3 linked regions of the Struthio camelus genome follow. The protein of the gene in region 2 binds, or shares a complex with, the protein of the main gene of each other region. Links are inferred from orthologs where the notes say so. Each region holds a gene or a part of one and is shown on either strand. Other genes may lie near its edges.

What was found.
Region 1: ZNF541 (region 2) and DNTTIP1 share a complex: the UniProt entries of both Homo sapiens proteins name them as parts of the histone deacetylase complex. The link is inferred for Struthio camelus from reciprocal best matches to the Homo sapiens genes ZNF541 and DNTTIP1.
Region 3: ZNF541 (region 2) and SAP30 share a complex: the UniProt entries of both Homo sapiens proteins name them as parts of the histone deacetylase complex. The link is inferred for Struthio camelus from reciprocal best matches to the Homo sapiens genes ZNF541 and SAP30.

The regions. Positions count from the first base shown.
Region 1 is NC_090959.1:19,293,184-19,301,120, reverse strand, and holds the start of DNTTIP1 (deoxynucleotidyltransferase terminal-interacting protein 1), read right to left. Parts: upstream 3,001-7,937; 5' UTR 2,948-3,000; coding exon 2,861-2,947; intron 2,786-2,860; coding exon 2,715-2,785; exon of another isoform or gene 2,687-2,714; intron 2,454-2,686; exon of another isoform or gene 2,402-2,453; coding exon 2,305-2,401; intron 2,084-2,304; coding exon 1,985-2,083; intron 1,286-1,984; coding exon 1,217-1,285; intron 767-1,216; coding exon 710-766; intron 483-709; coding exon 421-482; intron 72-420; coding exon 26-71; intron 1-25. UniProt on the Homo sapiens protein: Increases DNTT terminal deoxynucleotidyltransferase activity (in vitro). Also acts as a transcriptional regulator, binding to the consensus sequence 5'-GNTGCATG-3' following an AT-tract.
Region 2 is NC_090957.1:856,774-864,553, reverse strand, and holds the start of ZNF541 (zinc finger protein 541), read right to left. Parts: upstream 3,040-7,780; 5' UTR 2,652-3,039; intron 2,542-2,651; 5' UTR 2,449-2,541; coding exon 2,145-2,448; intron 836-2,144; coding exon 592-835; intron 1-591. UniProt on the Homo sapiens protein: Transcription regulator which is essential for male fertility and for the completion of meiotic prophase in spermatocytes.
Region 3 is NC_090945.1:46,426,128-46,433,794, forward strand, and holds the start of SAP30 (histone deacetylase complex subunit SAP30), read left to right. Parts: upstream 1-4,611; 5' UTR 4,612-4,723; coding exon 4,724-5,050; intron 5,051-6,266; coding exon 6,267-6,389; intron 6,390-7,667. UniProt on the Homo sapiens protein: Involved in the functional recruitment of the Sin3-histone deacetylase complex (HDAC) to a specific subset of N-CoR corepressor complexes. Capable of transcription repression by N-CoR.

The sequences.
Region 1 (7,937 bases), on a different chromosome or scaffold from region 2:
CCCAGCAGTGTTGGCCAACCGATACCTTTGGTCCATCCCTTCTCACGGGCTCAGAGACTTTGAGCTTCCACCTGAGGGGAAGGAAAATGAAATAAGAACGGATCCCAGAGGCACCAACTCACAGAACACCGCAAGCACCTAGCAGCAGGGAGCTGAGCTCCACCCCCTCCCAGCTCCATTTGCATTCACACCTTCTATTTCTCTCCAGTGCCCAGCTCTGGATCCTCATCCGTGCTGCACATTCTCTTCTCCCCAGCTGCCAACATCCCACCTCTACCTGTGTCATATACTGCTCACCCTGAATAGTCCATCTGGACCCTTCTGCCCCTTTGGGCCTTGCTTTCCAGAGGGTCTTCTACACTCCCTGCTTCATTCCCCACCCTCTCCAAGCGCAGGCTCTAAGTCAGAACCCATACTCACGCAGCCATGCCCGAGACCCCACGATCATTTGCCAGGCTCTGTCCTGGAGGCCGACCCTTTCTCTGCAAGAAAGATATCCTTGAGCTACTCATTTGTGTAGGCTGAGGGTACTCTTTCGGTTATCCTCTGCTGGGAAAATTGCTCTTTTTACCACGAGCAAAGTGCTGGCTAGCCCTAGAGTAAGGACCTCTAAGGCATTACAAAAGCTGCATCTGCATGCACTTATTTTCTGGGAAGGATGAGGAAGAGGCTTCCCATAACATAAAAGCATTTTTGTGGAAAACCCTACCTTTTTGGGAACAGGGCTTCCTCGCCGATTCAACTCCTCATCCATCTGTCTGGCACGCTGGCAAAGGAACGGCAGGAAGTGAACAGCAGCCCTTCTCCCTGTCTAGTCAGAACCCCCACCCACCCTGTCAGCTACTCTCTTATCTGCCGCACTTGGGGCACAGAGCACAAGTGCACAGGGAACGCTGAAGCCAACCCATCTCGGTATGAAGCACGTAGTTGCAATAAGCAACAGCGCATGGGACTTTTGTTGCTCTGTACCCCCTCCCTCCTAGCCCAACATCTCCCAGTTCTACCCCCTCATTAGAGCAACTGATGGACAACCAGATATCAGGGAGAGATCTATCCTGCAGCTTTTAAAGGACAACACTGTACCCCCCACTTACATATTGATTCTGTAATTCAACAGATAAGGAACAGGCAGAAAACAAAGCAACTCAAAACCCTCCTCTTATTTCTTCCAGCTCTTAAAGTCATTTAAGACTACAGGAACAATAACAACTTTTACCTTTGGTACCGCCTGCTCATGGGGCAACCTTGGGATCACCTTTTTGCCATCAGAGAAAAGCAGCTTGGCCTGTAAGAAGAGAAAGGATTATCTGATTCTGGGTCCAGAGAGGGACTGCCAGCTACCCCTGCCTTTCCCTATGAAAGGGGCTCATGTGTGCAAAGACACTCGCGCTGGAGAGAGAGCCCCAGGCCAGGTAAACTTTAAAGGCCATAGCTAATGACTCAGATGCCCAGTAGACCACAAGGGCTGGTCACTGCAGACCCCAGAGATTCAAGTGTATCTGGCCAGAAGCCCTATATCAGCTCTGGTTGCAGAGTGATTCTAAAGCGCAGTGCTGTTCACAGACAGTGAGATGCAAGAGCACGATCAAGTCAGGATGACCGGCACAAAAGTAAGATCTGAAAGAAGAAGATCACAGTCTTGTTGGAGGAACCTTCAACGGGTACCAGGGAACTAGAGTCACTGTGAAAGCTCCCTGCTGTCAGCTGTGTGCAACAAGCATGGACAGAGCATCAGTGGGAAGCAGCAGTTCATTGAGAGCTACCCAACCCCGACTACTCTCCTTTTCGACAGGGAAAAAGAAGTCGAGCACAGTATCCACGGAAGGACTGTGGACGCCCTCCTCTGGCTATTCTGCAAGACTGTGAGGAGGAACATGCCCTACCGCAGGCTGCTCTGCACAGCCAGCCAAGCAAATAGTAGTCTGCCGCTGCTGGACATACCAGGCTGCCCCGGGTGTGCAGGGCCCTTGGCTATGGTGCCCACCTGTTCTAGGCAACTCCGGCACGTCTCCTGGATGAGCTGCTCTGGGTCCACCTCCTCCCCGACATTATCACGCACATTGATTGCTGCTTTCTGGAAAAACTGGTGAAGAGGCAGCAGGAGAAGGTTAGAGCCTGACCAGCAAGGCAACATCGGGGCAAGCACATGGTGCACTTGTGCTCTCACACTGCACCCGCGTGCCAGCGGCCAGGCTGGCACAGGACAGGCGTGACCGCCTCACACAGCCACCCAGGAGCCAAGCTCCTCCTGCAGGGCCCACAGCGGGACAGGGTGGCACGAGGCACTGCCCCGGCAGCTCTCACCTTCATGTACTTGTTGAAGACGCCTCGGATTTCCTCATTGATGCTGGGCTGCAGGACGGCTCGCAGCAGCTCCATGGACACGACTGGGTCTGTGAAGCTGAAGGTGCAGAGATCAGGTGGGTGGCACAGACCCCCTCCCCCAGTCTGGTCTAATCCAGACCCTCTCCTCCAGGCCAGTCCAGCTGCCCCCTCCCAGCCTGGCCCAGTCCGGTCCTCCCACTGCCGCAGTCTCCCCTCTCGATCCTCCAGGTCCACCCGGCCCGGTCTCCCCCCACCCCCTCCGTATCAGGTCCAGTCGGGACCCCTCCCCTCCCCGGTCCCGCTCCCCATCGGCTCCGTCCGGCCAGCCCGGCCCGGCCCGTGCCCCCCAGCGCAGCGCGGCCCGGCCCGGCCCGGCCCGCCGCCGTTACCTGGTGGTCATCTGGGAGCGGCGGCCGCGCCGCTGCACCTGCCGGTGCTTGATCATGATGTTCCAGGGGCTCTGCGGGAAGAGGCGCGTCAGCCCCGGCCCCGCCGGCCCCCCGCCGGCCCGGCCCCCCGCCGGCCCCCGCCTCACCGTGCTGACCAGCTGCTCCTCGGCGCCGCCCGGGCCCTCCTCGCCCGGCGGGCCCGGCTGCTGCTCCGCGTCGCGGGCGGCCCCCATGGCGGCCGCGGCCGCAGCCCCAGCCCCGGCCCCGGCCCCGGCCCGCCGCCCTCGCGCCCGGAAGCGGCCGCCGCGCGCCGGCGTCATCGCGCCGCGCCGCCCGCCGGAAGCGCCCGGCTGCCATGGCAACGGCGGGCCCGGCCCGGGCCGGCCGGGGCGGGGGGGTGTGGGCGGCCCTCGGCGGGGCAGGAGGCTCGTGGGGGTGACGGGGGGGTGTGAGGTGACAGGGGGTGTGTGGGGTGACGAGGGGTGTGAGGGTGACGGGGGTGTGAGGGTGACGGGCGAGTTTGGGGGTGACAGCAATGTGGGGGTGTGGGGGGTGGCGGGGTGTGAGGCTGATGGAGGGTTTGGGGGTGACAGGAGTGTGGGGATGACAGGGGTGTGTAGAAGTGTGTGGGTGTATTTGGGGGGTGTACTGGTGGTGTATGTACTTGGGGGTTGTGCTGGTGGTGTGTGTATTTGGAGGGGTGTGCTGGTGGTGCGGGTGTATTTGTCGGGTGTGCTGGTGGTGTGGGTGTATTTGGGGGTTGTGCTGCTGGTGTGGGTGTATTGGGGGGTGTGCTGCTGGTGTGGGTGTATTGGGTGTGCTGGTGGTGTGGGTGTATTTGGGGGTTGTGCTGGTGTGTGTATTTGGGGGGTGTGCTGGTAGTGTGTGTATTTGGGGGTTGTGCTGGTGGTGTGGGTGTATTGGGGGTTGTGCTGGTGGTGTGGGTGTATTTGGGGGTTGTGCTGGTGGTGAGGGTGTATTGGGTGCGCTGGTGGTGTGGGTGTATTTGGGGGTTGTGCTGGTGGTGTGTGTATTTGGGGGTTGTGCTGGTGGTGTGGGTGTATTTGGGGGTTGTGCTGGTGGTGTGTGTATTTGGGGGGTGTGCTGGTAGTGTGTGTATTTGGGGTGTGTGCTGGTGGTGTGGGTGTATTTGGGGGTTGTGCTGGTGGTGTGGGTGTATTGGGTGTGCTGGTGGTGTGGGTGTATTTGGGGGTTGTGCTGGTAGTGTGTGTATTTGGGGGTTGTGCTGGTAGTGTGGGTGTATTGGTGTGCTGGTGGTGTGTGTGTATTTGGGGGTTGTGCTGGTGGTGTGGGTGTATTTGGGGGTTGTGCTGGTGGTGTGGGTGTATTGGGTGTGCTGGTGGTGTGGGTGTATTTGGGGGTTGTGCTGGTAGTGTGTGTATTTGGGGGGTGTGCTGGTAGTGTGTGTATTTGGGGGTTGTGCTGGTGGTGTGGGTGTATTGGTGTGCTGGTGGTGTGGGTGTATTTGGGGGTTGTGCTGGTGGTGTGTGTATTTGGGGGTTGTGCTGGTGGTGAGGGTGTATTGGGTGCGCTGGTGGTGTGGGTGTATTTGGGGGTTGTGCTGGTGGTGTGTGTATTTGGGGGTTGTGCTGGTGGTGTGGGTGTATTTGGGGGTTGTGCTGGTGGTGTGTGTATTTGGGGGGTGTGCTGGTAGTGTGTGTATTTGGGGGGTGTGCTGGTGGTGTGGGTGTATTTGGGGGTTGTGCTGGTGGTGTGGGTGTATTTGGGGGTTGTGCTGGTAGTGTGTGTATTTGGGGGTTGTGCTGGTGGTGTGGGTGTATTGGGGGTTGTGCTGGTGGTGTGGGTGTGCTGATGGTGGGCCCGTGGGGGTGCAGGGCATACGGGTGCATCGCTGCGGGAGGGCGGTGTGATGGGGCGGGTGCGGGGGTGCGGCGGCGTGGGGAAGGTTTCCGACGCGGTAAGGTAGGCGCTAGTGGAGCAACGGCCTCCTTCCTGCCAGCTCCTGCGTGGTTTGGTGTAGGGGAAATAACGGGAACCAATAAACGTGCTTGCCGTTTCCTGTTTGGTGTCAGCTTGGGTGTCAAAGCGTTAAACTCTCTGTATGTCCCGCAGCGCAGGTGCTCGGCGTAGCTGTGAAGAGCTGCACAGCTGTTTGTATCGCCTCGCGTAGGAGGCAGCACAGCAAAGTGTGTGTAAATAATCTAAGAGAATGGAAGTAGACTGAAATTGCAGTTGTAAATTTAAGACATCCACGCTTATTTCCCTCTGTGCTTGCAGGTGCATTTTTTCCTCATGGTTTATTTTACACATTACCTATTGGTATGCATATTCCCTCTCAAAAAAGTATGTAAATACCAGGTAATGTAAAAATTTATAGCAAGAAAAGAATCCCCAGTTGTTCAAAAGTACAGCTGTCATGGATGAATTTGTAGTGATGGACTGACTGTCAGCTCTCAAAAATAATCAGAAGTCTTAAAGCTTAAAAAAAAAACTTTTCCACCAAAATTGGAAATATTGAGACCTTCCTCAGACTGAAATCGGTAGCACACTAATCTTACCTACGGTACCAAAATAATTACAGTTATAGAAATGTAAATATTTGTTCTTTTATTGTCTGTAAATATTTTTGTTGTCTGATCTAGTATACCTGAAATACAAAAATAAAGTTGTTGCAGTTCCAATCTTAATAAGCTGTGTGTCTCTTTGCTGCAAGCCTCTCAGGATTCCTGAATCTCATTGTGTGGCTTAGGAAATATAGGAAATATTTGAAGCCAGTGTTCCTTAAATTTAACGTGTCAGCTTGATCAGTTACAACGTCTAGAATATTCAAAATGATTTGTCCATTGTTCATTAGACCTTTTTACCCTTGTACATTGGTTAACGTGAAGCTTTTTCTGTTGGGTCAGGTGGATGAAAATTTAAGAGGCAGATTTGCTGTTTTGTTGGTAAAATTTGTTACTTCCAAAAAGATTATAAGATAAAAACCGGCGAATTGGGTTTGCCAAAATGCGTTGTGTTAGGGCAGTTCGGTGTCTCTTGTTCAAAGAGTAACTAATCTAAAGGATGATGGAGATAATACTCGATGAGTATAGAGAGTGTGTTCAAGCAGTCATTTTCAGTATATCACCAAGTGTTTGTCCGTAGTGACCTAGGCGTACCTGATTGTGTCTCAGCGTAAGAGAGGAAACAAGATCATCTTTTGACGTTTCTTTCAGCGTTATAACACGTCAACTTACGAGTGTGATCCCCTTAGTATGCTTGGTTTGAATCGTCCATTGTAACTGTCGGTGTAGTGCTAAATAGCACTTGGCACCTTTGTGAGATCAGGACTTGCTGGTTAGTGTTTATTGCTGAGGAGGGAGGCTATGTGGCTCATCTTCTGTTCGTGTAGTACAAGAGACTCCTGCTTTTGTGGCCTCTTTCCTGCTACTTTAACTGTGGCTGCATTGACCGTGAATGAGATCAGGCTGTTATATAAATTAAACCTGTGGACATGTGGCCATTGAAGTCATCGTTAGTGTTGCCATGGCTTCATTTTCATCAGTGTTGGAATTTTTATGGGCAATTTTGGTTGTTCCCAATCATTAGGAATTTTATTTCCACAATATATGACTATATGAAGAAATTCTATTCTTCCTGAGTACCTAATAACTCAGTTGTTGCCGTTTCATTGATTTTGTTTTCTTTTCCGTGATAAATCAACAGAAGTGGATTTGTAGAGGAAGAGGAGAGGATACTGGCTGTACACGAATCTGATTGGAGTTGTCCTCAAACATTTGCGAACGAAATAGACTAGTAGTTGCTGCAGTGTGAAAGGAAGAAATATAATGCCTTGGGGAATGTGAGTGGGACTTGAAGACTCGTGTGCTGTAAGGACATGCTCAGTTACCAGTAATATGTTCTCCATCACAGATGTGACTTTGTTCCTTGTCCTCTAGTGGTGTATTGTGTTGTGTGTCTGAGTTAAAAGAGCAGCTTTCATTTCTGCACCAAATCCCACTTGAACAGGAAACTCAAGAGGGCTCAGGGTCTCCTGTTGCTGCAGACTGCTCAGATCATGCAGTTTTTGCATTTGGGTGAGTCCTCATTAAGCATTTACCCATTTGGTTTACTTATTTCTCTTTTTTAGGTCAGCACCCAGCCTGAGGAGGCTGGGAACAAAGGAGGGACAGGCTATGTCTCTCAGTAAGTCAAATTTCTGGCAATGCCATTGCTATAGTATCAGCAAAAATCATTTGACTGCTAGCGAAGCATGTTCTTGGCTTTAAGTTCCATGGGGTAAATTATTAATCATCTGAATAGCTGTAAACCTTGGAGGAGACTGGAATTCTTTCTTAAAAGCAAACCAAAGGAGAAAATCTCCTTGAATACATATCTTTGTTAGTATTGTTTTCTGTATTAATTATATTCGGGGAGTACTCGTAATCTTGCAAACCTGTGTTCAAAAACTGGCCATCTACATCTGTTTAAAGTGAGGTTCTACAAAATGAGATCCAGGCCTGAGAGTTTGCCCTGAATCCGGTGTTATTCAGTGTGAGTGCTAGTAATTAGGAGAAGAAAATCACTTTTGCAGCTATGAAGAGAGGAGTAAATGGCTACCTGATGGCACAGCAGAGAGATGGTGGTGCTATGGATCGTGAAACGAATGGGAGGCAACAACATGTTGCTGTGGCAAAAACAGGCAGAAGATGTTTTGAGGCACAGCATTATAGGTAAGGCATGTGAGATAAATATTTTATAGATCTCTGAACTTCAGATGGGGAACTGCGTCTGGCTTGGAGGACACACTTAAGTGAGGACATACACAAAACTGGACATTGCCCAGAGGAGAGTGAAAATGAAAATAGATATAAAAACTTAGGGAGAAAGCTTAAAAGAATGCTTTTGTTTAACCTAGATAGAGCTAGATGAAGAGGGGACGTAACAGCAGGATTCATTTCTGAAAGCTTGTTGCAGACAGGACAGTAGTCAATTGCTCTTCGTATCCACCTATGAAAGGACAAGAAATAGTTGTATTAATTTGAATCAAGCAAGATTTACATTACCTGTGGAAAAAAGCTTTCTTATTAAAAGAACAGTAAAATATTGGAACAAATTCTCAATAAAGGAGTCCCTGTCTTTGGGGAGATAGGCATATCTTTTTATGAGCAGGTCAAAACAATATCTATCAGAGATGACCTAAATATATTCCTTTTTACTTTAGAAAGGAAGGACTGATGAGATGACTTGATCGTCTCTCTT
Region 2 (7,780 bases):
CACACTTGTTTTACTTAACCCTGGACCACCATTGCCAAAAAGTAGAACTACAATAGACTGCTGAAGGTTTGGTGTATCAAAAGCTGTTCAGAGTTAACAATAAATGCTTTACAGCATTTGAAAGTTTAGGATCCGAGGTAGCAGCTGCATGAACAAGCAAGCTTTAACTGCAACAGTTCCTAAAACATTGGCTGCCAAAATCAGAACTTGACTACCCGCTACAAACTCTTTCAATACCAATACAATTTTCCCTAAGCCAGTCATCAGAAAGAAAAAGACTTTAATTCCTATTATACAGTTCAGAATTACAAATCCTTCTGCAGCTGGACAGAAACGAGTGCATTTGAGGCTTTTTCTGCACCAGCCTGCTCTGGAAAATTCAAAGTTCATTCGCATGTGCTAGTGAAATAGTTTTGTGATGCAACTCGACAGTGTTTGCTAACCCGAGAACACTAACAAAGACTACCGAGCGCTGTAACTTCTACCAGCTTCTGAAATTGGAAAATACAGTATACAGAGAGGAGTCTTATTTACATCTGTGAAACGGACCATAACAACTCTATGCATTTTTAACGGTAAATGCCTACATACAGGTGGTCCTGCCGTTTAAAAGCTTTGCTGCAGATTCTACAGACGTGTTTCCGTTCCTGGCTATGAGTCAGGTAATGTTTGCTAAGAGAGCTGGCACTGCTGAACACCTTCCCACAGAGACTGCAATCCAGGAACGAGGTCTGAGGAGAGTTGTGCTGATGCTTTCCTTTCCTTGCAGTACCAGAACTGGATCTGCCTCCTTGTTCAACTTCCTTAGATCCTGAAAGTGTGGGAAGCCCCAGTTCTAAACAGAGGGAGAAAGTAATATCCTTAGGTTATGCCCAGTGCCATATCGAGTTACTCTTGTGACGACAAGCTTTTCACTTTATTCCTAATAAAAAAGTGTTTCTTTTCGTAATTCTGTTTGAGAACTCTGGTCCAAGGTTTTCGACAACTGATTATCTGCATAAAAATGAGATGAAAATCCTGTAAATCTGCTCCAACTATTATGATTTGCAGCTCTGCAAATACTTTATTTCTAGGGTTTCCATAAACAAATAAACTGATGTCCTACCCTCACACAGGCTCCGTAACACACTTGGCTGTTTCAAACCTCTTAACTGGACCAGCGATTGTAATGAATTTTACCAATTTTTTTCCCCTTTCCTGGGGGGAAAAAAAGAGGGAGAAAAAGAGATAATTCTGAACCATTTTGTTCAACTGAACAATACAGAATTTTATCTAAGGCTATCAGATGACTAACCGCCTGATAAACCAGGTACTTCCCGTTAGCTTGGACTTTGAGACAATTCAAGATTTCTTACCTATGAGTAAGAAAGGAGAGGGAGACCTATTACACCTTGCTACTACTAGCTTGTGAATCAATAAAAACATAGACCTCAGTCATTACGAGAAAATCTCATGTTCTCATTTGAGTGCTGTTAGCTATGGTTTTTGATTTGTGTTGTTTTCAAGTCACCTAAATTTTGTGTGCTCTTATATACATTAGCAATTAAGTTATCCATTCCCTCAAGAGGAGCGTTTCACTAAAGGCACTCTCCTTTTAACTTTTAATGGTAGACCTAGAAAAAGCCCATTTTGCTTAATCCATTTCACAGAGAATTTGAAATGCAAAAAGAATTAAACAGAATGTCTCTTCTCTGCTTCAGGGAAAGCTAGTAATATAGATGTTAACAACATATTTAGCAAATCTGTCATTTTAATGCCTCCAAATTTTCCATTTCCAGCTGGAGAGCAGGTTGCAAGGACTTCTGAAGAAAACATATTCCTATCTAGGGTATAATTTTAAGAAAATAGGACAGAAGTGAAATTCCTGTGAAAGAGAAGTATTATAATAATAATTATCTTCTACAGCATTATCAATTTGAATAGCATTTTACAGGTAAAAGGCAACAAGAAACATTTGTGAAGTGCTTACATGACAAGAACCTAAAACTGATTTAAAAAAAAAAACATACCTGCTACTTCGACCCCCTCAAAATTTCCATGACATAGACTCTTCCTTCTATATAAAACTACTAAATAGCTCTGGCTGCTTTGATCTGTAAGATACCCCTCAAAATAACAGTGAAAGCAAAGTCCAGTGTACTCACCACGCAAAGAAGGCTGTGAGTCAGAGTCAGACTCTTCAAGGAGTTTAACAGAATCACAGTCCTTCACTGAATACAAGGAGAGTCCATTTAAATTGGCCTCCAAAGTATCACTGGCCATATCTGCAGCTGAAAGGCCTGGAACCATATCTAAGCCGCTCAGGCCTGCATACGTCATGTCTTTTGTATTTAGACACAAATCGTGGTTGAGAGTGTCACTGCAGTTCAGCCCCTGACTTTCTGAAAATCCAGGGAGATGCATCTCCGAATGAATGGTGATCTCGTCGCTGAAGTGGTACTGGTCCATGCCCGCCACCAACCCTGGTGACCAGTTAGAGGATGTGCTCTGGTTTCCACCTAGAGCAAAACTGGGGGTGTGAGGACAGCAGTAAAAGGTCTCCTAAACAAAAGACAAAAAGGGTAAGTTAAACAACAGAGATGATCTGACGTTACTTACCAAAACCATAACCAAGACTGGAACGGGTGTATCAGCCCATACACACACCATACCTTACCAGAGAAGAAACCAGAAGTATCCTGGCTCCTGTTTCAAACACAAGCACAGGCTGCTGCCTCTGTCAGGACAGAGAAGAGCTGCTGAGACCCTGGGGCAGGTTTGGAGGGCTGGGAAGAACCTCTTAACCAAAGGTGGAGGGGTGCAAGGGGGTCTGCACAGGGGAAAAGGGTGGAAACTTCACATCCTGGAAGAGGCTGAGGGGCTGCAAGAGGACTGAGGTGCAGTTGGGTAATGAAGGCAACTTTCCTGAAGGATAGGAGAGAAGGAAGAAAGTGCAGCCCCAGGGCCAGGGTTGGGGGGGGAAGGGGGCCAGGGGGGTCTCCCTCAGGGAAACGCCGCTCCCGGCCTCGCAGCGGGCCCCAGGCACACCCCACGGCTGGGATATGGGGCCGGGGGGAGTCTCTCCCTCAGGGAAACGCCGCTCCCGGCCTCGCAGCGGGTCCCGGGCACACCCCATGGCTTGGATATGGGGCCGGGGGGGGTCTCTCCCTCAGGGAAACGCCGCTCCCGGCCTCGCAGCGGGTCCCGGGCACACCCCACGGCTGGGATTTGGGGCTGGGGGGGGTCTCTCCCTCAGGGAAACACCGCTCCCAGCCTGGCAGCGGGCCCCGGGCACACCCCACGGCTGGGATTTGGGGCTGGGGGGGGTCTCTCCCTCAGGGAAATGACACTCCCAGCCTCGCAGCGGGTCCCGGGCACACCCCATGGCTTGGATATGGGGCCGGGGGGGGTCTCTCCCTCAGGGAAACACCACTCCCGGCCTCGCAGCGGGCCCCGGGCACACCCCACGGCTGGGATTTGGGGCTGGGGGGGTCTCTCCCTCAGGGAAACGACACTCCCAGCCTCGCAGCGGGTCCCGGGCACAGCCCACATCTGGGATTTGGGGCTGGGGGGGTCTCTCCCTCAGGGAAACGACACTCCCAGCCTCGCAGCGGGTCCCGGGCACAGCCCACATCTGGGATTTGGGGCCGGGGGGGGGTCTCTCCCTCAGGGAAACACCGCTCCCGGCCTCGCAGCGGGTCCCGGGCACACCCCACAGCTGGGATTTGGGGCTGGGGGGTTCTCTCCCTCAGGGAAACGCCGCTCCCGGCCTCGCAGCGGGTCCCGGGCACACCCCACGGCTGGGATTTGGGGCCGGGGGGGGTCTATCCCTCAGGGAAACACCGCTCCCGGCCTCGCAGCGGGTCCCGGGCACACCCCACAGCTGGGATTTGGGGCTGGGGGGATCTCTCCCTCAGGGAAACACCGCTCCCGGCCTCGCAGCGGGTCCCGGGCACACCCCACGGCTGGGATTTGGGGCTGGGGGGGTCTCTCCCTCAGGGAAACGACGCTCCCGGCCTCACAGCGGGTCCCGGGCACAGCCCACGGCTGGGATTTGGGGCTGGGGGGTCTCTCCCTCAGGGAAACGCCGCTCCCGGCCTCGCAGCGGGCCCCGGGCACACCCCACAGCTGGGATTTGGGAGTCTCTCCCGGGGGGAGAAGGGAGTTGGGGGCCGCCCCGAGGCCGGAGATGGGGGTGCTGGGCGGCGGGGGGGGGGGGAAGCGACCCCTCCTCCCCCCCCGCCCCCCGCGCGGCCGCTTTACCGGTCGCCTCGCGCCCGGACCCTTCCCGCCCGCCCGCCGCGGGCGCATGCGCGCGCCGCCCGTCGCGCCTCGTGCCGCCGCCCCGCGGCTGCGCGCGCGGTCACGTGACGGGGGGGAGGGGCGCGGGTTGGGCGGGAAAAGGCGGGCGGGAGGGAAGGGGGTGGGCGGCGGCGGCGCCATCTTGGGGAGGGGGGAAGAAATGGGTGGGTAGCGGGGAAGAAAACAGGCGGCGTGTGAAAGGGGGGGATGATGATGATGGGGGTGCAGTCTGTGGGGAGAGTTAAGGGGAATTGGTGTCTGCGTGGGAGGGAGGGGGGTGGGGGGGGGGGGAGGAGATTTGAAGGGGCGTGAGGTGTCTGTGAGAGAGGTGGAAGGGGCCTTGGTGGATGGTGAGTGGAGCAGGTGATGTGCCAAAGCCAGAGCGTGAGGGGAGCGGGAGGTGGTAGAAGGGGCAGGTTTGAGGGAAGGGAGTTGTGAGCGCAAAGGGGGACGTAGGGGTTGGGGGTGGTGGGTTCAGGAGGAGAGTTTGGGGAAGGGGCTCAGCAGCGTTGTAAGAGAGCTGTGGGGTAAAGCGCTGGGAAAGTAAACAAGGGGGAAAAGGAATGTAAGCGTATGCAGGCTTAAGGGAAAAGCAGAAAGTGGAGAATAGCGAGCAGGAGTGAAGATGGGGCTAGCAAGTGGGCATAGGGGGATGTGCCGACTGTCATGGGAAAGTTGTTAAACTAAACTTCCTTGTGCCTTAAATGCCTTCCTAAGCCAAGGCTTCACAAAACAGACCAAAAAAATCCAGTAAAACGTGGTGGTTGTAAGGCTGTTAATCCATTTACAGCTGCTGCACAGTGCGCATGTAGAAGAGCTCGGTGTTTCTGGGCAATATCTGATTTTGGCATGTGTGCTGTTTGTGGTAATCTGCATGGGCTTATTATGAGTGCTAGCAGTATGTAGGTACAATTTCACAGTTGGCCTTTGGAAAAACTGTTTGTTGAACTTAATTACTCCTGTGTAAAATGGGAATAATACTTCACGGGATAGCTGTTATTAAGAGATGGCTGAAAAATACCAAGAAATCCTGAGTTCAACATAAGAAAAGATACAATTATTGCAACTCATTAAGACCTCTTTAAGCTTTATCTCTAAGCTGCTTTCGATCCCGTTTCTTTTTTTCTCTGTTTCTCTAATGTTAAGATTTTGAAGAAGAGAGCTAGGTTTAATTTGGGTAGGATATCCTTCTGTCCCATAGTGTGTTCTAGGCCATTACTGCTCCCTTAATAGAAATAATGCTCTAACTTTACCAGTGAAAAAGCTCTGTTATCAGTATCACAGGCTTGGTCTGGCTGACAAAGCAGTCATCTAGAGCCTCCTGAATCATAGTAAAGTAATTCAGAAGTGGAAGAAAAATCAACTGAAAGTAAGTAGACTACACTGTTTTAAACTGGAATGGTACTGCAGCAACTACTGCTACTGCAGTCTAGTGGTTAAAGCAGGAATGGGCTACAGTGATATTAACAAACCTTTAAGGGTTCAGTCCTTGGTATTATTGCATTAAAAATAGTATGTAATTGTATTAGTCATCAGCAGTATATTTTAAGCAAGCTTAAATACCGGTGCTTGGTTTTTTGTTTTTTTTTTTATTACTCTGCTTTGTGTTTGGTTTGACAAACTTATCTTGAGAGTGAATTTTCAGGTCCGTATCAGTATAGAAAGAGCAATTAACTAGTACACTGCATGACGTGACTAAGATTTGAATCTATTTCTTACAATAGGCCAAGTTTTTACTTGGAATAGATTGGTGCATTTGCTGTATTCGTGGCCCTGTTACGTTTCACTCTACTAAAGGATCTGGCCTAATGTTAAGAAAGTAACAAGAGGCCGTCATCCTAGGGAGGGCTTCGTGGCCTGAAGAGTGCTGAACTGCACAATTCGGGAGGCTGAGGAGGGTTTGCTGCTTTGCCACAGTGCATCATTTGAGCTCCCCATGATAAAAGTTCCCTGTGGCTTCCTCTCGTACTTAACTGTATTGGCCGTGCTGTAAAAGTTTTTTGAGATCAGCTGACAAAAAGTGATGTCTAAGGGCAGCGTATTTGTATGTGAATAATTCTGTGGAAGTTAAAGGGTTTATCTAACTTGCCTCATTTTCTTTACTTTTGAACAGTGAAATTTAAAGACTAAATTTTCGTGCTGTATGTGAGGTACACCAAACTGAAGTCATCAAAGTCGCATCCATTTACTATAGCAGTGAATTTGACCCTTGCTTATTCAGAATAGCAGGATATAACTGTGGGGAAGCAATCTGTTACTCTAGTAAAGGTTGCCTAAAGTGTATAGGAAAGAAAAAAAATGGTTGTAGAATTAGCATAATAAGATTTAAAGATCTCTTACAATATTATTAACACTTCCCACTTGGAAATAAACCGTGTGCTTTAAGAGATCTGTTGATAGCAACATAGTTCAAACTAGCCTCTCTCTTTGAACAATCTTGTCCCATGGGTTACTCTAATTATCACTTACTGTGGCTTTCTGCCAAGATTTTTTTAGACATGGCAGACTCCACTGTATTTTTCCAGCGCTCTGGAATGGTATGGCGCAGCTAAAAGACAGAAAATATTCAAGTGTAAATGTGCCTTGTGTTACTTTAACATGTTTATAAGCGATATTCTTTATGGCGATTGGAATGTGATTATAGAGGGAGAGGTTTTTCATCTCCTTTTCCACACCTACTCCAATTATTTCGAGTTCCGAACTACTTTAGGAACCATTGCGTTGCCCTCTGTACTTCGTTAATGGCTCCTGATTAGGTTAGCTTTCAGCAGTTATCTGACAGGCTCATAGCAAGGCCACTTACAACCAGGAAATAATAATGATGATGCTGCCACTGAAGTGGCGGCGGCTGCCGCCGCTTCAAACTGCGGTCTCCTTCCTCTGTTAAACTGTCACTGCGCTCGGTTAGCACTGCACTTTTATAGTGTAATGCACCAAAATAAACCCCTCCATAGTCCCACCCAGGTATAAACAGAATGTATATCTAATTCAAATTCAACCAATCAAAGGGTATAAACAAAGTAGAAAGCCCTGCCTCTAGATTATTAATTACTCACACTGGTCAATCACATTTAACCTGTCTAATCAGGATGCAGGGTAATGCATCTGGCCCTTCCCATTTCTCTCTGAGCTGCTCCACTTTTGGCCAATCGGGAGCGGTGTCTCTTCCTCCGGCAGAACCAGTTTATAATTGGTATGTTGAGGACCCTTGGTTGAGCTGTGCTTTGTGCTGCCTGAGCACAGAGCCAGTTTAAGATTGTGCCTGAAAATGCACCAGCACTGAGCGTAGTCAGCACGTAAAATTAGTAATACTAATAAAAAAGATTGCTTGAGCATGAGCTTTCAGCATAGCTAGCTTCCCTGCCACCCAAGACAGTCTTAGGTTTTCTTGGCTGCTATGTCTTCACGATCAGTTATAAAAGTATGCTATTTTAAGTGCATAATATGTTGACATGACTTGCATTTTTATTTTTTTCGAACAATAATTGAGCCAAATTTG
Region 3 (7,667 bases), on a different chromosome or scaffold from region 2:
TTTGTTAAATGTTTCGCTCTACATTCCAAATTGAAACAGTGACTCTGAACCCTTCACTGTTAAAAACAGTGGATGTGCACTGTTAACTTGGGTGAATGGGAGCTTGTAAGGAAAAAGATAACTGAAATCTAGTGCAGAGCTCATGGTAGGCTGCTATGGTTGCTTGTGTGCAGCTGAATTTGAAAACATCCTTTAAGCTGCATTTACTATTGCTTAATGAAGCAAAAGTATTTGTCACAGTTCATTGTTGAAGTCCCCCAACAAATAGTTGCTGGCATGTACATTCAATAAAGAACATTAATATTTCTGTATCAACATTTCTGTATTTTTTCCACACAAAAGTGAAGCCTTTTGTTAGAACACCGTTGAAGGCTGTTGTAACTAATGTAACGGCTTATTGCAGAACTGAATTGGAACAGTGAAGGGGCATGTATTACAAATCTTCCAAGGTTTTAACAGTACACGGGCTTATCAGTTTTAATCCTGTAACACCTAGATTACTCTTAAAATACGATGTTTATTTTTGGACCCTGTTTACTGCTTTAAATCTTTTAATAAAAGCATGTGTTACATAAACTCTTTCATACTGTCTTAATTTCCATACTGCAGGGTAGAACACTAAAAAGGAATAGCAGATTCAACTGCATTATACAGAAGGACCAGGAAATACCAGTTGTGCACCAATTTAACCATTTTGGTTAATGGCATGATTTTCTCTCTTACTGTATTACCTGAATCATATACATCCAACACAGGATGTGTTGGAATGTGCAGAATTGTTAAACCATTTTAAGGATTTTATTTTAAAACATTTGCCAACAGGATAATTTGAGGTGCAGCACAACACTCAGTAAAGTATACCTGGACTCCTAGTGAATGGTCCCTAAAGGGTACCTAAAGGGAAGAGTCACCTCTAATTGAACCCTTATCGTATTAAGATATATATATAGCTACAAAACACATTTCCTTTCCACGATTACTCATAATACATTTACAGCGTGCCAGCAATCTATCCAAAGTGATGTGTCTGCTTATCATTTTTTGTTCTCAAATTACAAGTTAAGCACAAAAGCTAACAGGAGCTGGGACAGACGGCAGTCAAAGAGGCATAAGCTGCTCACTTTCCCACCGGTGCCTGGCTCCCCTCTGTGCCAGCAAGGGCCACTGAGTCCTGCTGCATGCACTTGGAGCCTGGGAGCTGCTGCTTTGAACAGATGCCCTTTTCAAGATACTGTAGCTCCTGTTCCTTCTGCATGCCACTTAAGTTATCTATAATGCATTTTTGGCATCTATGACATAGATTATTACTGCCTTAATTTTCAACTCTGCGTGTGAATATGGCACATAAATGCTAGTGAAGTCTTACACAAAAATTTACTAGTTTGGAGCTGCCATTTCCATGCGATCAGCTTAGTTTTTCAAACTTTTGCTCTAAATACATATTGTTCCAATAATGCATACTTTGATAGGGATATTTGTTTACAATCTCCCAGTACATATATATATAATATAGTTATATCTAAATACTTCTATTAAACACTGCCAGAGCTTAATTTTATAAAATCATACTTTTGCACAAAATGCAATCTAGCAGAATCCATCTATGACATTGTTTTATTCCAAAGGGCCTAACTATGCAATTTGGAAAATCTATCCTGTAGATGGAATTTTTACTCTGCCTGATAAGCCCACCTATCTGCAGCTCTTTGTTAACCTTGTACAGTATGTGGGATAAAAAAATGCAATGACGTGATTTCTGAATTATTTTAAGCTGGCATTGATACCAAAGAAGGTGGCCCTTCCCTGTTCTGGTGCTAGTCAGGCAGTCCTGCCCTTCTGTTGGATCGTCCTTTGTGCTAAGACATCACGCAATTGAGCAGTAAAGGAGATCAGGCTTAAACTTAACTGATTTTCTTTCTGCTGGGCTAGTTTTAACCCAATCCAGTTTGCTCTGCAGCTGTATAAATGCTTTTACAGGCACAAGGAAGGGCATGGAGGGCTTGGGTGTGAAAATGAGCGGCTTATGGCAGAAGGAGGACTGTCTTTCTCAGCCCTACTACTGCCTTATCATGATAATGAAACTATGACACTACTCATTTTGAAATTCAGCTTATAATTTAACATACTGGCCAGCATAGCTGATTAATGTAATAAGGTCTTTAACTGTTCACAGATGATACCAAGATAATTGGGAATACAGATTTAAAATGCGCTACTGATCGTTCCATCTTATGAAACTGCACCAACCAAACCTACTATGCCAAATCTCAACCACTCTTTACCTAGCCTGGTGTGCTTTGTGCTCACAGTAAGGTGAAAACAATCTAAAGAAAGATGGGTCTCAAAAGACATAGTGTAAAATTGCAGGTTTTGCTATTCATGACACAGATTTCCACTGAAGAATTCCTGGAACTCACCCTTGCTCCAGCTTTCCTAGCCTGTACTTTCCTTAGGTAAGCCCTGCTACCATTCTTTTAATATTTTATTATTGCAACTGTTAAAAGGGTCAAATCATAGGAAACTTAAAAAGTGAATTAGATGTCTGTTGTCTGAGATTATACAGATTATACCCAGATACTTCATTTAGACTTCTGTTCAGTTGATAACAAAACAGAGCTTTGGATTTTTTTTGAACTCTAATCTCTCTGAATCTTTGAAATGTGCCTTCTCTATTGTCTGTGACTCTATGCTCAATTTTTTACTTACTGTATCATTCATTCAATTACACTGTTCGAAGTGTAAGTGGGAACCTACCCACATTCTATAATACCAGGTTATGTAATCAGATTAAAAAGCCATCTGCAGCACAAACTGAAGCTGCGTTCTAATCGTGTTCCCCGGCTCACTTAGAACTTTGGCTTACACGGGATCTGTGTCTTGTCAAATCATTCACTGACTTCTCCATTACTCTTCTGATTCTGCAAACTGAAAATGCATGGTAACTGATATGGTTGAATATTTGAGTGATTAAATCATCATGCTTTGAGTACAGTCAGTTCAGATACCATTTCTTAGATTTAAGGGAATATTCATGGCAGTTTGAAAGGAAAGCAAAACGAAACTCAATATTCATTCAGTGCCTATACTTTGAAAGCACATGAAGAAAAATGCATCAAAAGTTTGCATCTTCTGTCACTCCGCAGCCAACAGCAGCACTAGCAATTGGTTTAATGCTAATGCATCTCTCATGTGGTTTTGCAAATTCCTGAAACTAAAAATACTTGCTTTTAACAAGTATTTTCACAATATCTATTTTAGCTGGTCTTATACACAGCAAAGTCCCAGTTCATCACTAGCAAAAGATAACGCAGTGTTAGTTTGTTGTTGCTAAAGTCATCTTTATTCACCAAAAGCCCGTTTAAATAGTAAAATTGGAAGCTTGCGCTGTACATTGGCTTAAGAGATCTTTATGAAGTTATCGCAAGGCTAGGCTCCCCTTGCAGCCGTTTTAAAAACGGCTTTAACATAAAGGACTACTGTCAGTTATTCTCAGTCAACAGACTCAAAGCCACAGGCTGTACAGAGGCTCTCAAAGAGCTCCCAGTTGCAAGGCAACACCGCACATGACAGAAAGCACTCTGCATTCAGTCCAGGGCAACGGGATCTGTTCTCCGACCGTTACTGGAAAAAGGCTGAAAAAGAAAAGAGGCAACGAGATATGCACAGACGTACGGCAGAAAGAAAACAAAACAAACTAGAAAAACCAAGCAAGAAAACCATCCAAGGAAATGCGAGTTAGGCTGAAATGTTACAGCCAGAGAAAGTAAAAGAAAGGCGAGGCACCGCTGAAGAGAGCGAAGAAGTAAGGCGCTGCAGAAACACAGACGTTAGCGAATAGGAAGCAAGGGTGTCTTAACCTTTTGAGGTTGAAGTACGTTTACGCACTCGGCTCAGCAAGTGAAAGTGGCGATCTCTGCCCCTCAGAGAGAAACGCCACCCTCCTCCGCCCCAGCCGGGGAAACGCCGCAGCGGCCGGCCCGGCCGCCCGCTCCCGCCGCCGCACCGCCCCGCACATTTCAAATCTCAACGGCCGCACGCGGCCTCGGCGGAGGAAAGGAGGGAGGCGAACAAGGGCCTTTTAAAAGCAGATCTGGGCCGCTGCCGCCGGGCCGGGCCGGGCCGGGCCGGGCGCGGCCACCTGGCGGCGGGGGAAAAGGAGCGCAGCGGCGAGCGGGCGCCCACCGCCAGCGCGGAGAACAGCCAACAACCACCCCCAACCCCCCTCTCCCGCGTCCGCAGCGCCGTAAAATGGCACTCCGGCTCCCCCGCGGGGCATGTCGGGAACTGTAGTTTTCCCTCGCCGCCGGCCGCGGAGGGGGAGGCGGCGAGCGAGACTACAGTTCCCGCCGCGCCCCACCCACCACCACACAAACATACACATACACCGGCGGGGGAGCGCGCATGCGCAGGGGAGGGGGCGGAGCCGCGGGCAGGTTGCTGTTGTTACATAGGAAACAGCTGAAAAGTCTCCACATGACAGAGGGGGAAGGAGGAAGCGGCGCGACCCGCGGGGCGCCGGGGCCGCGGTAGCTCGGCGGAGAGCGGCAGGCGGGGGCTGCCGGCGGCGAGGTGCGTGCCCGCAGCGCGCGGGCTCGCCGCCCGTGAAGGGGGGGGCCGGAGGGGTCGCGCCCCGGTGCCGCGGCCGAGGGCGGCAGCGCTCCCGCTCCCGCCGCGGCAGTTTGGTGCGGGCCGGGGTCCCCCCGCCGCGGAGTTGGCGCCGGGCATGAACGGGTTCGCCCCGGAGGAGGCGGCGCAGCGAGGGGCAGACCCCGCCGCCCTGGTCGCCGCCGTCGTGGGCAATGCGGGCGCCGCCGTGGAGGTGCCGCCGCCGCCGCTGCCGCCGCCGGGGCTGGGTCCGGCCGCCGCGGGTGCCGGTGCCGGTGCCGGGGCGGGTGGCGGCGGCGGGGCGGGCGGCCCCGGGGCCGGGCAGCTGTGCTGCCTGCGCGAGGAGGGGGAGCGGTGCGGCCGGGCCGCCGGCAACGCCAGCTTCAGCAAGCGGATCCAGAAGAGCATCTCGCAGAAGAAAGTGAAGATCGAGCTGGACAAGAGCGTAAGTCGGGCGGCGGGGGAGGGGGGAGCGGGCCCCTGCCCCGGGCCAGCGCAGCCCTTCTGCCGCCCGGCCCGGCTGGAGGGGCGCGGGGCTCGCCCGTCCTTTCCACGGCTCCGTTTCTTTTTGTTTTCTCCCTTTTTGTTTTTTTTCCCCCCTTTTTTCCGGAGCGGTGCGGTCCGTCCCTCTCCTTCCTCGGCACGCCGTGGAGTTTGGCTGGCGCCGCACGAGTTCAGCCTTCAAGCGCCCTTGGCGGGCTGCGCGGCGGGGCGGGGGGGGGGGGGTTGCGCGCCCTGCCCCGCTCCCTCCGCGCTTCCCGCGGTGTCCGTCCGCGCCTGCTTCTGGCGAGGGCAGCGCTTGGCTGCTCCGCCTCGTGCCGTCGCGTTGCACGTCTGCCCTCTCGCCGCTGCGTCTTCCGCTCGGCAGCCATCAGGCGCCGCCGCGCAGCGCTGCGCGGGGCAGCGCGGGGCTGGGGGCGCCCGGCCCGGCCCGGGGTAGGGGCGGCCGAGGTGTTTCCCGGCGCCCCGAGGCAAAACGGCTGAAAACGCACCGCCGCGTGTTTTGCTGCCGGCGAGGCTGCGCAGCGGCGCGGAGCGCTGCGCCCGCGGCCCCCCCCCCCCTCCTCACGGCCGCGCTGCGCTGTCACCCTGTAAACCTAGCCCCGCTCAGGTCCTTAATTCCGGTTAAAGTCGGCGCTCACCGCTCTGGAAAAAAACGGTTTTTGCACATAAGTAAGAACTCTGCTTTCGAAATGAACGGGTCCTTCCAGAAGGAAACTTTATCCAAAAAAAAAAAAAGAAAAAAAGAAAGCGTATGTGCCGCTTGACCTTGCGTAGGCAGTGGAAGTGAAACAAAGGAGTACAGATGGGAAACGAGAGCTGAAGTCCTCCCGCTTTGGGGCGTTCAGAAGAACGACTGAATCACTCTTGTTGCCTGATGCCTGAGCGCTGACGAGCGGCCGTGGAGATTCATGTGCCTCTGCAGTCCGGTACTACTGAATCAGTCTGCTGCGGCACTTCCCCGCTCTCTAGGCTAAGCGGGTGGCAGTCGTCCGTAGCGTAACACATACCTTATTTAGTGAAATCGAGCAGAAAAGCTTCCTGAACTCAGTTAACGTGACTGTGATTGCTGAAGGGTTGGTTCTGTATGTGCATTTATATCTTAAGTTGAGCAGATACGTGTGTGTATTTGATTGAAAGATGCAGCATTACTCTTTCAGGCAAGACATCTTTATATTTGTGACTTCCACAAAAACTTAATTCAGAGTGTGAGAAATAGAAGGAAGAGGAAAGGCAGTGATGATGATGGTGACTCACCGGTGCAAGACATCGACACTCCAGAGGTAGCTAAATAGCTGTTTTCTAATTGTTATGTTAAGCTTTTTCTTAATGACTACCAGGTCTGCACTAATGCTGCTTTTCCACTGTTACAGCTTTCCTTATTTTGGGGGATGGGGAAAACAGAAGACTCCTGACTCATTAAGTCCTTAGTATAACAGGAGCTGACTGAGTTTTATGAAGTATCTTCTGTATTAATCATGTAGATTAGAATGAACAAAACTCTTGGCTTATTTCTCATTATCTGCTAGTTTTCTCAAAAAAACTGTTTTCAACTTTTTCTTTCCGATGCTTCCTCTCCAGACTTCTACTAGAAGTGATGCTTTGCCACATAGTAGCAAAATCTATCTTCTGCAGGAGCTGACAATTTTAAGGGAATTGCACGTAGGACTTGGGATATAAATGCTTCACTACTCCTGTCCCTCCAATCATTTCTTTCTGGGTGTGAAAACGTGTTGCAGAATAGTTCTTGCAGCTACTCTGTTGCTCTAGTCTAACTCTAATGAGGATAGCTCTATGGTTTTTGTCCCCTGTTCAGGGAGGAGACACTCAGAGTCAGGCAGGAAAGGAGAGGAGGAGGATAGCCCTCTCCCTGTTTGTGTTCTCCACTGGAGGTTTGTGAAACATTGTCACTTATTTTGAAAGTGAACTGCAGCTTTTGAACCTTTTTCGTAGTGTTGGGGGAAGAAAGCACTAGGTTTGTAAGAAGCATGCCATGACCTAAAGCCCTCTTCCTACGTGTGTACTGGATTATTTCTGCTGGAGCCTGGTTTAGCGGGTGCTCTTCAGTGTGATGATTCTGAGCAGAGGCTGTGATTCCAACCTAGTTCCTCTAAGGGATTTTCAAGATGTTTTGGATGTTGCTCATTGAATGTAACTTTGATGGCATCCTCATAGCCCAAATCTGCATACATCAGCCACATAAGTAATACAACTTTGCAAGAGTCGCTGCCTGAAGACATGCAGCTCCAGCTTGAAGGCTCTGACTGGGAGGATCTTGGGGGATTGGGAATGATTTGATGCTAGCCTGTGTTTTTGGCTGTTAAATACGTTGGATCACTTTTCTGAAAGTTCTGTCTAAACTTAATGTGCCATGTGACTTAAGGTAGCTGCCTGGCACAGTGGAAACTGCCACTCTTCAGCAAGCCTGTTTTGCTTTTCAGTACAAGAATTCTAAAACATGTCACAACTTATGAGCATTTCTGGAACAAAAAAAGCAAACTTTTTTAGTGGTACTGCTGCAGACAAGAAAACTGGCTGGGAAGTGCATTTGAGGAGTTTCA